Linked DNA regions of Kluyveromyces lactis. The protein of the gene in region 1 purifies or fractionates together with the protein of each later gene. This does not show direct contact. Links are inferred from orthologs where the notes say so. Each region holds a gene or a part of one and is shown on either strand. Other genes may lie near its edges. The genes, in order: MAK16 and DBP10.

The links.
Region 2: the proteins of MAK16 (region 1) and DBP10 purify together in Saccharomyces cerevisiae (affinity purification with mass spectrometry; 3 studies listed by BioGRID). This does not show direct contact. The link is inferred for Kluyveromyces lactis from reciprocal best matches to the Saccharomyces cerevisiae genes MAK16 and DBP10.

The regions. Positions count from the first base shown.
Region 1 is NC_006037.1:354,612-367,936, reverse strand, and holds MAK16 (ribosome biosynthesis protein MAK16), read left to right. Parts: upstream 1-7,047; coding exon 7,048-7,956; downstream 7,957-13,325. Other genes in the region: KLLA0_A04081g (uncharacterized protein), read right to left, coding at 1-968; mitotic regulator LTE1, read left to right, coding at 2,509-6,609; aminophospholipid-translocating P4-type ATPase DRS2, read left to right, coding at 8,282-12,313; PRO2 (glutamate-5-semialdehyde dehydrogenase), read right to left, coding at 12,386-13,325.
Region 2 is NC_006042.1:2,294,830-2,298,870, forward strand, and holds the start of DBP10 (ATP-dependent RNA helicase DBP10), read right to left. Parts: upstream 2,801-4,041; coding exon 1-2,800. Other genes in the region: SLM3 (tRNA-5-taurinomethyluridine 2-sulfurtransferase), read left to right, coding at 3,395-4,041. UniProt on the Saccharomyces cerevisiae protein: ATP-binding RNA helicase involved in the biogenesis of 60S ribosomal subunits and is required for the normal formation of 25S and 5.8S rRNAs.

The DNA.
Region 1 (13,325 bases):
GATGTGGAACCGTTAATAACACCGCAACCCAAACCGATGAACGCTAAAATCCAACTGTTCAAATCGAGCATGGCTTCCTTGAATTGATCTGGCTTTATTTTAGTATCCTTGATACCCATTTGGTTCTTTGAAACGTGGTCGATGACCTTCAATTTTTCCTCATGAGTTAGGAATTTAGCATTAGCTGGAGAGTCAGGTGCAATGTACAAGAACACAGCGGACCATACAAGATTCATTATGCCGAAAACCAAGAAAATCAACTTCCATGGTTGCAAAGAAGTGTTAGTGGCATGACCCAACCCGTAGGCCAATAGCGCACCAACCATTGTCGCTACACCATTCATAGACAAAAATGTACACATTCTGAATGGTTGTTCTCTCTTGTTGTAAAACATGGCACACATCATCATATTGGATGGAGAGATTGATGCTTCCATCAATCCTAATAAGAATCTCAATGCCATCATTGATGAGTAGTTCGTAGCTCCAATATGTCCAATCAACAAAATTGCCCAAACGAATAAGGCGACACCTGTGTATTTGGCCACTGGAAGTTTTTGAATAACGTAGTTTGCTGGAATGGAACCGATCAAATACCCGACATTGAAGATAGCGGCAATATTACCGTACTCATTCCCAACAAGACCAAGATCCTCCTTCATGGAATATGCAGAAGCATAATTCAACGATAACTTATCCAAGAACTGAAGCATGTATGTGATACAAAGCACTGGTAATAACCAGGTATCAATCTTACGTCTGATTTTGGAGTACTCTTTGTCATCGTATTTCAAGTCACTGTCCAAAACTTCTTGGAAGAGATCAAGGCCAACAGCATGCTCAGTACCTTCCAATTGTTGTGATTTAACGTTTTTGATTTCTCCATCATAAACCTCGATGGATCCAGTCTCAGTGTCACCAACGACGCCGATTTCAAATTGTTCTTTTTCTTTTATTTCTGAAGTCATCTTGTAATGTTTAAACTATCTTAACCTTAATCTTTTCAGTCAAGGAAAAGCTTGCTGAGGGTTGTGATTTAAAAAAATGAGTTAAGTAGTTTAACCAAACGGAATATTGATCGATTGGAATGACCGAACCATGTTCTTATATATCCAAAAGTTTTCCAGTCGAGTTATAGCGATACCCTCAAATGATATACCGTATCTCTCCTCATCTATCATCATAGAGCGTCATATCAGCCCGCCAACAAACAAAAATCACTATGATTGGAAGTGAAGAGCGATTGAACTTTAACCTTTGTGGTTGTACTAAACTAAAACTTAAGTGTTTGATCACAGGTCCGTTATCACCCTCGAATATCATTCCCGAGATTAAGGTAACACTGTTACTCTACGAAAATGCATAAGCAGATAACAGGCGACTGCTCAAAATTCAAACCCTATCTGACACTGGAACAAGAAATAATTAGGGGAACAAACTGAAAATACGCACGCTGCTAGCAACAAACGACCATTATAACCTTAAAACACTGTTATGCAATCAACAGCGATCTCAGGGGCCGGTCAAACTACCACTCGTGCTCACATCAGCATGAAAGAAAGCATGTGCATGAAGAACTGTTCAATTCCCAAATAGGCAACTCGCTGTCCCCTCGAATCCCATATCAGGATTCCACATGAAGGTCTGAAAAACTATACCGATTACATATTTCCAACTACAACCAGGCTGTTTCTCCTTATCTTGGGCCCTGTTGTCTGAAAACGGTCTTATTATGACGGACTTTTATTGCTTGTGAGGTCCCCATTTGAAAGGAAAAAACCGGACAGTTCAGTTTAACAAGTTATCCTATTGCTGTCTCACTGTTACCTCTAAATTCTGCCCGGCAAAAAAGGTATAACCCTGCATTCATGATGGTTGCACTTCGTTTAATCATCTGTTTCTTCAAAGGGATTGATAAGATAACAACCTAAACCATTTATTCCGGAGAATGCGCGGCGGGAATTTGACAACCCAAAAAAAAAAAAATTCAAAACGAGGGAAAGAGAACCAGAAGTGAGCATGGGGAAAATATCAGTCACGTGGACAAAGATATACAATCCAGTTTCCATCCACGTGACTGGGAAATGTTTTTCATTACCCAGACTTCAACTCAAAACTTCTCGAAAGGCATTCTACAAACCTCAAATGCACCGATGATACGGCGAAATTCTGTGAAAAATGAACATAAACAATGGTGATTCTGTCATGAGAACCAAAATATCAATAATATGTTTTTTTAGTAAAGAATCGAAAGTGGGAAAGAGATTCAAGATAGACAAGGAAAAAAACAAGGGAAAAAGAGTGGAGTGAGCGTATCATTTTTTGAGGCACCCGCCTAGTGTTTGGATTAGTTTTACCAATATTTTCCTGTTTTGGTATAACGCATCGAACATTGAACCACAAGAACTGTTTATCTTTTCTTTTCACCGTTGATCTGTTTTTACAATTTGAAGAAGAAAGTACAGAAGAAGAGCCTAGTGAGGAGAGAACTCTAGTGAAGTAGAAATTATGTCTGAGGTCGTTGAAAAGGCTGACGAAAACGTTGTGCCGTTATTTAGTCGACCTGAATTGTACCCTGTGCCTAGTGAAAGTGTACTGACTGTAGATTTACGCGATGGTACAGTACGAATTCTTAAATGTACGCTTCCTGCACTTCTAGTGCAGCTCTCATCGCCGCTAGATAAAGTCGACTATTCAATGCTGACGGATTTCTTTCTAGTCTACAGAAATTTCATGAGTTCTCAGAAATTGCTGGATCTAATTCAAGAGAGATTCCAATGGGCGATTGACTTGCGTCAATCTGACCCTAGTTCCCAAGAGAAAATTACATCCGAGGTTATACTGGTACGGATGTTTGTGCTGGTAAGGCATTGGCTGTCTAACTATTTCGCACAAGATTTTGTCGTCGACACGTCGTTGCGTCGTCAATTCCTTCAATTCATCAACGGATACTCTCCAGTTGACAGGTTCCTGGACAATATTATAATTAGTTTAAAAAAATTATGGGTTCAGAACGTTCAAATTATGTGGGAGGATTTAGAAAATCTCATAGTGGAAAATAACGTTGTATCGCGCGATGATTGGCTCAAGTGGGAAATAGAGGACGTACCGTCTGGTTCTTCTTCGGAAACAGGTGAAGGAAGCACGAAGGGGAAGCGACTTAGCTTTATTGCATTACAAAATATAAACAACCCGGTACTCAGGAACGAATCCTTACTCTCGTTATTGCACACCAGAGAGAAGATACCTCTACCACAACAATCAGAAGATGAATCCAAGAAACAGAGCACACGTATCAAACAGAGAACTGGATCAATGCTTTTGTTCCCAGAAAATGCTTCCAACGGACTTTCTATTAACGAAAAACTAACGGCTTCAGGAGTCTCGCCAGAGGCCACTCCGAAACAGGAGAGAGAAATAACAGACCCCAAGAATTCGAAAGATAACAAACATATCCTACCGCAGTTGTCCAGGGTCACTAACGTTTCTTATATGATGAAAGATTTGGAATACCCTTCAACCCCTTCAGTGGACATCTTCGTCCCACCAACACCAGCGAAGAATATAGAGTTTATCTTGCAGACGTCGTACATGGAAACAGATCTTCCAGAACAATCTAATGGCTCAGATTCGACGAATACCGTAAATGGCAATAACACAAATCACAAAGGAATACTGGGTCTATTGTCTAAATGGAAATTAAATCATCAAAGAAAACCAACTGTAAATCCTGTCCAAAACCCACCAAGGGTTGAAAATCTAATAAAATATGTATTTTCCATTTCTTCATTGGACAATCATGCGAATCCATTGCCCGATTCGCTTTCTTCTATGTTTGATATTTTGAGTGCAAGAACTATTGATGAGGTAGAATATCTTGTTTCTGTGGAAAGTGATCTTTTAGCAAAATTAGAAGCTAAAAAACTAACCACTGAAATATCTAAGTTGGAAACAAATGAGGATGAATCGCAGGATTATAGTGTTATTGATAATCTTAACCTTTACAAAACTGTTTCATCAATCGCTAACTCAGTGATATCGCTATCTAAAACTTTGAATGTCAGAACAAACAAGTCAACTACCCATCTGTTATCTCCTTCAACCTCGGCCCTTGAGAGGAAAAATATAAGAAACTCTGCACCAATGCTGTACTCTTACAATAATTCTAGATACAGCATCACGAATGCCTTAATGGGACTACCTAATACCAATGACAACAGCAGTCCAAAAAGATTGGTTTTCCATGATCCGACAAGGAACTCTCCTACAAAGAAGGCCATACTTGCAAATAACCTGAACAACATAGGAGAATATAACGGTGAAAGAGACTCTATTACTTCTATTGTCACTTATGACTCTGCATTTTCAGATATTTCATCTTCTGGGAATATCTTGAGTCAACATAAAGGGAGTAGTAATATTTTCATGGAATCTGCCCCAACTTTGAAAAGAAAGCTGAATGTTAATGACCTTCGTAGGTTCAATTTCGAGAAATCTGATTCGACAGATGACAGATCCTGTTCACCACAAAATAGAGAAGCAACGGAGACGAGTGCAACTTCAATGGAAAGTGATGCAAATGATAATGCTATCCAAGATGAGTATGAAAACGAAAATGAAGATATTGCATCGTTAATAACTGCATATGAAGAAAGTACGTCTGAAATTGATACCCAATGTCAAAACAACGCCCAAATTAGAAGACCCACAAGTGGCAGAATTAGTATAACAAGAAACTACAGTGTTGCCTCTCCCAACTCTTTGAGGTCCATTCTCCCTAAATCTCCTCTCATTTTGGGCAATGAAGTTTTTATCGAAAGAGATAAAGCTTTGGCTGCAAACCAGGACATTATATCGGAATTAGAAGAGACGACATCTCTCTTACTAAATGATAATGACAGAAAGTTTACAGTCAGCCGAGGTTCAGTATGTAACGACTCGGACTCTCAAAGCATCTCCACAAATTTGCTGTTTAGTTCTGCCCAAGCTTCACCCCAAAAATTGGTAATCAAAGAAGTTGATGTCATTCAAGAGAAATCGGAGCATCCCGATGTCCCTACGCCAGTATTATGCAAACAACCTATTTCAAAGCTTTCTGAGACTCCAAGTATAAAGTCAATAGGAAGTCGTGATTCAGAAGAATCCTTTGATCTCACGTCGATTGCTAGTAAACCAAATCGCGCACAATCCACAACTCTGAGAGAGAAATATCATCTAGAAAAACAGGCAACTAATGACATTTTCGAGGAAGACGTTGAAAACTTGAATCCAGAGAATAACAAATACCTGTTTTCCCCAGACACTGATAGCATAGATTTTGCATCCCCAGAAAAGAACCTCGACGATTTAAAACAACAGTTTATTGACCAGTCAACTGATGAGCAAACGTCGTTAGATGAAGAGGAGATTGCTACTCAGGATAATGAAAATAAAGATCATGGAATTGATAAAAAGAAACTAGAGGACATTATGAATGGTATTGACGACACAGCTGATACTTCTATGGATCCTGTTAATCTTGCTTTAATGAAATTAGAAGGGACGTATGATAAAGGGGAAAAGGAAATAGATGATAAAAGTCCATCAATTAACAGCGAATTAGCCCGGGAAGTTGAAAATTTCCAAATCGTACAAACTGCAGCTCTTCCTGAAAGCGCTCGCAAAAGGCAATCCATGTTCATACAGAGAAGACGCAACACAATGATCGATTTTAGCGTTCGTGATTCACTCATTGACAAAGACTCCTCCTGCACCAGATTGGAAAATACTGATGAACAAATTCGTAATTTGTTAAACCAGTACACATTAACTGATTCAAGGCTTAAAATAGACAATTTAGAGCAACATATCCCGTTCATTCTGATGTATGATTCTAAATCTGTGGCAAACCAATTGACCTTGATTGAAAAGGAAATTCTATCTGAAGTTGATTGGAAAGATCTATTGGATTTGACAATGAGTGAACAACTTCCACAATTTACCAGTTGGCTGCAATTATTGGTACAGAACGAAAACTTGTCGGGTATCGATTTAGCCATAGCAAGGTTCAACTTGACCGTGGATTGGATCATTTCTGAAATCGTAATGACTCAGGACATAAGGTTGAGAAGGAACACGATCCAAAGATTCATTCACATAGCCGAACACTGTAAAGAGTTACAAAATTACAATACTTTGATGGAAATCATCCTTGCATTAAACTCCATTGTCGTTCAGAAATTCACTGAAACATGGAGACTTGTCGAACCAGGCGATCTATTGACTTGGGAAACGTTGAAGGCCATACCATCCCTGGAAAAGAATTACAGTAACATTAGACAATTAATAGACGAAGTCGAACCACTTTCTGGATGCATTCCATTTATCGTGGTATACTTATCGGATCTATCTTTAAACATTGAGAAACGTACCTGGATTGTACATGACGAAGTGCTAAATTACAACAAATTCCAAACAAATGTTCAAATAGTGAAAAACTTCGTACAGAAGATGCAATGGTCCAAATTTTACAACATTGATATTGACCATGAGTTGTTAAGCAAGTGTGTTTACATCACATCATTGTCCCATGACGAAATCAATTCAATTTCACATAAATCCCCAATTTAATTCTTTAATGTCGAGTAAAGTATTTGACATAGAACTAGTTAGTCTCAGTTCATTTCACCTCATATAATATATATATCAACACACGATTTTATCAGTTTCAAATAGTTTCATCCACATTTTTTTCGAACATATTTGAATGAAGGTTAATCTCTTTAGATCTAATCATGCATATTCCGACTCTTGATTAAGTTTCCGATTATAACAATAAAATATCATTGGTCATGTGACTAAAAATTTAGTAATCCATTTCTTTTTTCTCTTTCTGCCTGAAAATTTTTGAGAACTGAAAAATATCGATGCGATGCGATGAGATGAGATGAAATGAAAGAAGCAGCGACTAGCGGAATAGCAAGTAAACTTAGCGATAGTCATAACCAATTTAAATAAACTCATACTAAGCATAAACCAGTATCTGTAGGATTGACTGAACATTAGCAGATGTCTGACGAGATCATTTGGCAGGTTATCAACCAGCACTTTTGTGCGTACAAAGTCAAAACTGATAAGGGACAGAACTTCTGTAGAAATGAATACAACGTAACAGGTTTATGTTCGAGACAAGCGTGTCCTTTGGCAAATAGTAAATATGCCACTGTAAAGAACGTGGACGGAACACTTTACTTGTACATGAAGACCGCGGAAAGAGCTCACACGCCTGCTAAATTGTGGGAAAGAGTGAAACTATCTAAGAATTACACAAAGGCATTAGCACAGATCGATGAACATTTACTGTATTGGAACAAGTTCTTAATTCATAAGTGTAAGCAAAGGATGACAAAGCTTACACAAGTGATGATTACAGAGAGACGTTTGGCATTGAGAGAGGAGGAGAGACATTATGTCGGTATTGCTCCTAAGGTGAAAAGAAGAGAAGAGAACCGAGAACGTAAGGCATTATCAGCCGCTAAGATTGAAAAGGCTATCGAAAAAGAATTGCTTGAGAGATTGAAGAGTGGTGTGTATGGTGATAAGCCTTTGAATGTGGATGAAAAGATCTGGAAGAAGGTCATGGGACGTGTAGAAGACGAGGACTTGGATGAAGAAGAAAACGATTGGGATGAGGAAGAAGAAAGCGATGAGGGAGAAGTCGAATTCGTAGAAGATGAAGACGCTGAGGATGAGATGGTAGATATGGAAGATTTAGAAAAATGGCTCGGTGGTTCTGATACATCTGATTACAGCAGTGATGAGGACAGTGACGAAGACAGTAGCGACGAAGATAGCGATGAAGAAGAAAACCCATCTAAGAGACAAAAGAAATCTACACAAACCAGAAAGAGACATCCTAAGGTTGAAATCGAATATGAACAGGAACTAAATTCCAACCAACAAGAACTTGCACAATGATGCGTTTCTGAAAAACAGAGCTCGTCATGACCACATTTGTATACTATTAAATTTGACATATTATTATATTTATTGAAGATAAATTTCCAACTACGATAAAGAAGCAAAGGCAATAGTTAATAATTATATACACTTACAATAGCATCTCACCATCAATAGTATGTCCCCTTTCCCTTCATTTTGTTATACTGTACCCAAATAATGCATTCGAAATAGCAGTCACGTGGAAATATTGTTTCCATGCTGACAGTTTTTTCTTTGTAAATTATACCGGAAAATCCCATTAGGACACATTAAACAGAAAGATTCGTAAACCATTTGCACCATGAAACCCAAGTACTTTGAAAGGGAGATACAGAGCCAGAGAGGAGCGACACACCGATCAACCTGCTTTCCAATGAGTGGCTCAACTAAGCATGGCGACAGCGATGCGTTGTTTGATGTTGACTTTCTTGATGATAGCTACACCCCGGATTTACGGGATAGTCCAAGAAGGAACAGCCCAAGTGCAGTAATAGATTCAGGAATGGATACCTCACAGAGAGGCTTACTCCCACAAGAGACCATTGACCTCAGTGACAACATAGAGAACGACATTGAAAATCCTTTCAATGACCGTTATTCAGCATCCTTTGCAGACACTAACCCTAGGAATAGTGTCTTACCTCAGCCAAGTGGGTTCAATAGATTTATGAGCAATGTGAAAAGTGCAGTCGGTATGAATGGTGGACATAAGGGTCAATTCCAAAGTTTCGAAATGAATGACTACGATCAGAGCAACACTAATAGGTATGAAAGCTCTACGAGGAAGTTTGACATCAAAGTTTTGTTCAACAGGTATATTCTCAGAAAAGGGAAAACCTCTTGTAAGTCTGACGAGCCAAGAACGATTTTACTCAACGATAGTTCAGCAAATAGCCGTTTCGGCTACAGAGATAATCACATCTCTACGACGAAATATAACGCTGCAACTTTCTTGCCAAAGTTTTTGTTTCAAGAATTCTCCAAATACGCGAATTTGTTCTTCTTATTCACCTCCATTATCCAGCAAGTACCTAATGTTACACCTACCAATAGATATACGACCATTGGTACACTATTAGTAGTGTTAATTGTTTCTGCAGTTAAAGAAAGTGTCGAAGATTTGAAAAGATCGAATGCTGATAAGGAATTGAATCATTCCCTGTGTGATGTTTTGGACGAAAGATCTGGAGAGTTTGTGAGGAAAAAGTGGATTGATATAGCAGTTGGTGATATTATAAGAGTTAGATCTGAGGAAGCAATTCCTGCTGATTTGATCATTCTTTCCTCTTCGGAACCAGAAGGGTTATGCTACATTGAAACAGCCAATCTCGATGGTGAAACCAATTTAAAGATTAAACAGGCGAGACAAGAAACAGCAAACTACCTCGATGAAAAAGCTCTCTGTAAACTTCATGGAAGGGTACAGTCAGAGCACCCAAATTCCAGTTTATATACTTATGAAGGTACAATGACGCTAAATGGTAGCACTTTCCCTCTATCTCCGGATCAAATGCTGTTGAGAGGTGCTACGTTGAGAAATACTGCTTGGATTTTTGGCCTCATAGTTTTCACTGGTCACGAAACCAAATTGATGAGAAATGCCACTGCGACTCCAATTAAACGTACTGCTGTGGAAAGAGTCATTAATATGCAAATTCTTGCCTTGTTTGGTGTCTTAATTGTTCTAGCTTTGATTTCCTCCACTGGTAATGTCATTATGACGAAAAGGGATTCTGCTCACCTCGGATATTTATATATCGAAGGTACTAATAAAGCTGGCTTGTTTTTCAAAGACATACTAACTTTCTGGATTTTATTCTCTAACCTTGTTCCCATTTCCTTATTTGTTACAGTTGAAATGATAAAGTACTACCAAGCTTATATGATAGGTTCAGACTTGGACTTATATCACGAGGAATCAGATACACCTACCGTTGTTAGAACGTCATCCTTGGTAGAAGAATTGGGTCAAATTGAGTACATATTCAGTGATAAAACTGGTACTTTGACGAGAAATGTAATGGAATTCAAGTCTGTTTCTATTGCTGGCAGGTGCTATATTGAAACTATTCCTGAAGATAGACGTGCAACTGTAGAAGATGGAATTGAGATAGGTTTCCATTCCTTTGAAAGTCTAAAGGATAAAATGACAGATCCTGAGGATGATGAAGCAGGCATTGTCATTGAATTTTTAACCTTATTAGCTACTTGTCATACTGTGATCCCAGAGACACAAAGTGACGGAACAATCAAATATCAAGCAGCTTCCCCTGATGAGGGGGCATTGGTACAAGGTGCAGCAGACTTAGGCTTCAGATTCGATATCCGTAGACCTAACTCGGTCTCCATTTCAACCCCATTCAGTGAACAGCTTGAATATCAATTGCTCAACATTTGTGAGTTTAACTCCACTAGGAAACGTATGAGCGCCATTTTCAGAATGCCTGATGGTTCGATTAAATTATTCTGTAAAGGTGCAGATACCGTGATCCTCGAGAGGCTTGATAGTGAATTTAATCCATACGTTCAATCAACCTTGAGACATTTGGAGGATTATGCTGCTGAAGGTTTAAGGACTTTGTGTATCGCTAGTAGGACAATTCCGGAAAAGGAGTATGAAGAATGGAGTAAAATATATGAAGCAGCATCCACAACTATGAAGGATAGAACTGAAGAGTTGGATAGGGCAGCCGAACTGATTGAACACGACCTTTTCTTTTTGGGTGCTACAGCTATCGAAGACAAACTTCAAGAAGGTGTTCCAGAAACAATTCACCATTTACAAGAGGCCGGATTGAAAGTTTGGGTCTTAACTGGTGATAGACAGGAAACTGCAATCAATATTGGTATGAGTTGTCGTCTATTAAGTGAAGATATGAATTTGTTGATCGTAAACGAAGAAACTAAGGAGGATACGCGTACGAATCTCCAAAGTAAGTTGAATGCCATCGAGTCACATCAAATTTCACAGCAGGATATGAACTCGTTAGCTTTAGTGATTGATGGTAAATCATTAGGATATGCTTTAGAGGAAGATCTTGAAGATCAGTTTTTGACAATTGGTAAGCTATGTAAGGCCGTTATTTGCTGTAGAGTGTCTCCATTGCAAAAGGCTCTCGTTGTAAAAATGGTGAAGAGAAAAACATCTTCATTGTTATTGGCAATTGGTGATGGTGCCAATGATGTGAGTATGATTCAAGCTGCTCACGTAGGTGTAGGCATAAGTGGTATGGAAGGTATGCAGGCAGCGAGATCGGCTGATTTCGCCATTGGTCAGTTTAGGTTCTTAAGAAAATTATTAATAGTGCATGGATCGTGGTCATATCAAAGAATTTCATTGGCCATTTTATACTCATTTTACAAAAACATGGCATTGTATATGACACAGTTTTGGTACGTGTTCGCGAATGCTTTCTCAGGTCAATCTATTATGGAATCTTGGACACTCACGTTTTATAACGTCTTCTTTACTGTGATGCCACCGTTCGTTATAGGAATCTTTGACCAATTTGTGACTAGCAGACTTTTAGATCGTTATCCACAGTTATACAAGCTAGGACAAAAAGGTCAGTTCTTTTCCGTTACTATCTTTTGGGGCTGGGTGTTGAATGGTTTCTATCATTCCGCAGTTGTTTTCATTGGATCAGTACTATTTTATCGTTATGGTAACTGTTTGAACATGGGTGGCGAAACGGCAGATCACTGGGTTTGGGGCGTGGGTATCTATACCACCAGTATCATAATTGTGTTAGGCAAGGCTGCATTAATTACGAGTCAATGGACGAAATTTACGTTGGTGGCTATACCTGGCTCTCTTGTAATATGGCTCTTGTTTTTCCCTTTCTACAGTGCTGTTTTCCCAAGAGTTAATGTCTCCAAGGAGTATTATGGTATCATCGGCCATGTTTATGGCTCAGCAACCTTTTGGTTGATGTGCATCGTATTGCCAGTATTTGCTCTTTTGAGAGATTTCGTATGGAAATATTATAAAAGGACGTATTCACCTGAATCATATCATGTCGTTCAGGAAATGCAGAAGTACAATATCAGTGATTACAGACCTAGAATGGAACAATTTCAAAAGGCCATAAGAAAGGTCAGACAGGTGCAAAGAATGAAAAAGCAAAGAGGTTTTGCATTCTCGCAAAGCGAAGAGGGTGGACAAGATAGGATCATCAGAATGTATGATACCACATTAAAGAGGGGTGTACATGGTGAACTGGCCGATGCATCTCTAAATCCCTTCAATGATACTCCGGCTCAAGTCGAACCCTCTTCCAATGTGGGTCTTCGCCAATCGTTCGAATCCACCAATCCTTTCAAGGATGTTTGAGTCAAGAAGTCAGTAACGTTGTAATTATGTATATAGATGCGTACTTAGTAGTTTGAAAATAATGTTGGTATTTCAGATAGAAATGCTCTTTACATCAAGGTCTTTGTGAACGAAGGCTTTCTTACCTCCGGCCCCTAGATAATCACTGGCAATTTGTCCATTACCTCTTAGTTGATACTGATAAGTCACAAGGCCATCGAGTCCCACAGGGCCTCGGGCATGGATCTTCGAAGTAGAAATACCAACTTCGGTTCCAAATCCGTATCTAAACCCGTCTGCAAATCTGGTGGATGCATTCCAGTATACGCTCGATGAATCAACAGCTTTCAAGAAATATTCAGCATTTTCAGAGTTTTCAGTCACAATAGCATCAGTATGCTTGGAAGAGTGTGTATTGATGTGCAAAACAGCTGCTTCTGTAGATTCAACGAATGCAACTGCAATATCCAACGACAAGAATTCCTTGTCGAAGTCTTTGGACTCGTCTAAATCCACAATATGATCTGATGTACTGTTGTGCTCCTTATATTGCTTCTTTACTTCTTTTGAAACATGCAAAGTTACACCATTTTCAATTAAAGAATTTAGCACCTCCCACCAGTGCTGTAATTTAGGATTGATTAGTAGAGTTTCTACAGCGTTACAACCAGCTGGATAGTTAGTTTTGGCATCAACAAGAATTCTTTTAGCCTTTCCAATATCGGCAGATTCGTCCACGTAGATTGAACAAATACCGTCTGCATGACCTAACACTGGAATCTTGGTGGACGATTTGATCTGTCTAACTAAGGCATTTGAACCACGAGGGATAACCAAATCAATATATTCATCCTGTTGCAAGAGGTCAGAGACATCTTCTCTGGTTTCGATCAACTGAACGGCACCAACTGGAACATGGGTCGTCTTTTCGTTTTGCTCGACGACGTCATTCACGATACGGGACATTTCTTTGAACGTGTTCAAGGATTCCTTACCACCTTTCAAAATTGCTGCATTACCTGATTTGATGGAT
Region 2 (4,041 bases), on another chromosome or scaffold:
CCTTAACTCTAACACCTCTTTCCAAAGCAGCTTCCACTTTTTTCTTTTGGAAAGCGTAATCGTCTCTATGTTTATCAGGCAATTTAGGAGCTTTTTGAGTCTTGTGTTTGAATTTACCGCCAACCGTACGCTCCGATGGAGAAGTCGGATCAGCCAATAGATTCGATGGAATAGTGGATTCTCTTGCACCAACTTTGAGTGGAGCAATTTTTCTTGCCTTAGACCAATCTTGGAATTTTCCGGATCTGAAACTTGCAGGAATCTTTTGACCACTTTCTCCGATGATGTACTTTTTGTTGTCCAAACCTTGAGTGTTCACATATTTCTTACGCTTCTTGTCCCACTTAACCGTAGCTGTTTGCTTGTGAACTTGTACCTTGTCATCGTTGGCTAGATCAAATGCAGCATTGGAAGCATCATTTGTGAAACCAGATGATATCTGTAATTGTTTATCTTGAATGTCACTAGTTGGTGCGAAATGTGATAGATAAAAAGTTGGATCTCTGAAAGTTTTCTTCTGCTTCTTCTTAATATTTTCTTGCTCTTCTAACAAGACATCGGCATCTTCAAATTCTTTCAATACCTCATCAGGCACTGAGTAACCAACTTCGTTGTCTTCACCTTTCAAAATTTCATCTTCTATACTATGCCTCAAACCAATCATTCTCTCTTTTTCCAGAAGTTCTTGTCTTTCTTTTGCCTTCCTTTGAATTGGAGCTATTTGTCTCCTCCTTCTCTTCATTAACACAGACATTTCATCGTCTGGATTCCTTGCGAACTCGAATACAGTTTCCTTGTTATTTCTGTGTTGCAACTTAGCTAAGAAATCCAATTTCTCTTTTTCGGCGTTCTTACCGAAGTATATATTCTGTTCGTCCCATCCTGATCTGAGAATTTCCTTTGACCTTTTCATGGATTCAGCAGACGCTGGTGTCCTGGTTCTAAAGTAAAGTTTTTCGGCTTTCAGGGCAACACCTTTCACAGTATTTAACTCAAAGTCAGATTTGATCATATTGCTATAAAGGTCACCCATACCATCAATCTCAGAACGTGGACAAGCACCAAGGACCATTCTTGTGGTGTAAGAAACCTTAGGATCGGTGAAATTATTATTACCCTCAGATTCTGCCTTCTTTCTGAGTATCTGGCACGACGATTCATACATGGGTGTTAAAAGGATCTTCTTACCCAAGAATAATTCTAGATCCAAGAGATAAGGTAGTTCATTTTCAGAGACAATCGAAAAGGCCCAACCTCTATTACCAGCTCTGGCCGTTCTACCTACACGATGAATGAAAATTTTTGAAGAACCTGGCAAAGAGTAATTAATCACATTCGCTAACAAAGGAATGTCAACACCTCTGGCTGCCACATCTGTCACAACCAAGATAGATGTTAAACCAGCTCTAAAATTATAGAGCTGTTGCTTACGGGCATGTTGATTCAAAGCACCATAAATATATGATACTAGGTATCCACAGTTCTTCAATAACTGTGTGACGTATTCGACATGATGTCTTGTTGGAACGAAAACGATTGTTGCCTTTTCGGATGGCATTTCGTTCGCATTCGGTAAGCGCCTTTTGGATTTTTTAGCCTTCTTTGCCTTCTTTTTCTTTTCATCTTCGCTGTCATCACTGTCAGAATCCGCATCATTCTGCTGTTTGAGCTTCTTTATTTGGGACTCCGTGGCAACAGGCATCTTGATAGCTTCTTGTAACAGATATAATAGATTGGCTTCACGTTCATCCTTTTTTATAGATATAAATAACATCTCCAAATTTTCTGATATCTTCGTTTCAGCATCAAGTCTAACCAATACTGGGTTTGACAAGCCTGCCTTAGCAAAATCAACCAATGATGATGGCAATGTTGCCGAAAACAATAATGTTTGTCTATTAGTTGGGAATGCCACAAGCAGTTCATTCAGTTGTTCCTGGAAACCCATTTCGAATAATCTATCAGCTTCATCAAATACAACATATTCGACTGATTTCAAATCCAAGTTCATTTCAACTTTTAAATGCAAGAATCTACCTGGCGTAGCAATGACGACGTCAGGATTCCCCATCATCATACCGAATTGGTCTTCTAAAGAGTCACCACCTGTTAACAAAATAGAACGTAAATCCGAGCCTTTCGAAAACTCTTTGAAAACTCTATGAGTTTGAATGGCCAATTCTCTTGATGGTGATAAAATAACGGCTCTAACACCAATCTTGGCCGAATGGGTCTTTAATTTTTCTATCATAGGAAGCACAAAAGCAGCAGTCTTACCTGAACCGGTACGTGCCATACCGACAATATCACGCTTTTGTAAAATAAGGGGAATGGTTTTCCTTTGAATTGGTGTAGGTTGCCTGAAACCTTTCTTCGAGATATTAATCAATACTAGTTTTGAGAGACCGAAACTTGCAAACGAACCTTTCTTATGTTTAGCCGCAGCATCAGCGGTAGTGTTGAAATAATCGTTTAAGTCATCATCCGATTCATTCGTAGCCTTCTTTTCGTCGTCCGAAAGCTCAAGACTTGGGAACTTACTGTCCACAATGGGACCTGCCTTGACTTTGGCTTTCTTGTTTTGTTTCTTTGGTTTCTTCTCTTTCTCTTCCTCATCACTAGAAAACTCGATAACATCTTGAACTTCAGCTTGGAAACCAATATTGTCATTATCATCATCAGAAATGTCACTATCTTCACTATCAGCATTTAAAGCAATATCACCAGCAATGTCGAAAGCATCCTCATCTTCGGAGGAGTAATCTTCTGCTGGGAGAGCTCTTTTGCTAGAATCAACCATTACTGTTAAATTTGATTAACCTGAGTTCGATATCTAACAGTTGATTTATGGCAAACAATGATTGGCCTTATAATCAATACGATATAAAAGAATATTTAGCACTACTGATATTAATGAGTTACTATCTCATCTCATCTCATCTCATCGCATCTCTTATTTGGAAAGTGATGTATTTTCAAAATTTTCATAAGGAAAAAGAAATAGTTTTCAAGACCGGCATAAACAGAATTAAACATCAAACTGACGCTTTGTGTGAAACCAAGAAGATCAAGTGACCTAAAACAAAAACTTCAACATTATGTGTCACGAATATTACCAAACTCAAGTAAATAGAACGTCATACTCTAAAATTTTACTATAACTATTTCAACTTGTTTCCCTGAATTTCGCCTCTGTACATTATCTTGGTTTTTTTTTTTCTATGCAAGCCAATCAATTCAGTATCTGACAAAAAAAAGTACATGAAGATCACAACTATAACTTCTCAAGGTTTACTGAAATAAGTACCAGCTATATCTTGTTAAAGCACCATAAAAGTGTCCCGAAGGAGATGCACCACTTTATATAGCAGACGGACAGAAGTTGCGAGGAATAATGTCGAAAATCACTTCAAGATTCTTAGAATTATGCAAACAAAGACGGTTGCCTGGATATCATGTCCAATCCATGCCATCTAAATTTGATAATATTGTGGTAGGAATGTCTGGTGGAGTAGATTCTTCTGTATGTGCTGCATTATTCGCAGCTTACCCGAACGTTCATGGAGTATATATGCAAAATTGGGGCAAAGATCAATCATTGACTAGACCAGAGGAGGATCCATGTTATGAGAAAGAATGGAAGGATGCAGAAAAAGTAGCGAAACATTTGAACATCCCAGTGGAGTTTGTGAATTTTGAGAAAGATTATTGGCTAAATGTGTTCGCGCCTATGTTAGAACAATATAGTATGGGCTATACACCAAATCCTGACATCGGTTGCAATCAGTTTGTTAAATTCGGAAAGTTGATGGATCATCTGGATGTGAAGTTCGGTAAGAACAACTACTGGTTGGTGATGGGACATTATGCTCGAATACTACGAAGAGATAGTGGTCCAGAGAGATCTGAACCACACTTGATGCGCGGATTGTATCAACAGAAGGATCAAAGTTATTATTTATCACAAGTTTCTGTTCCTTCTTTAAATCAAATGATTTTACCAATTGGTCACTTGACGAAACCGGAAGTTAGAGAGATGGC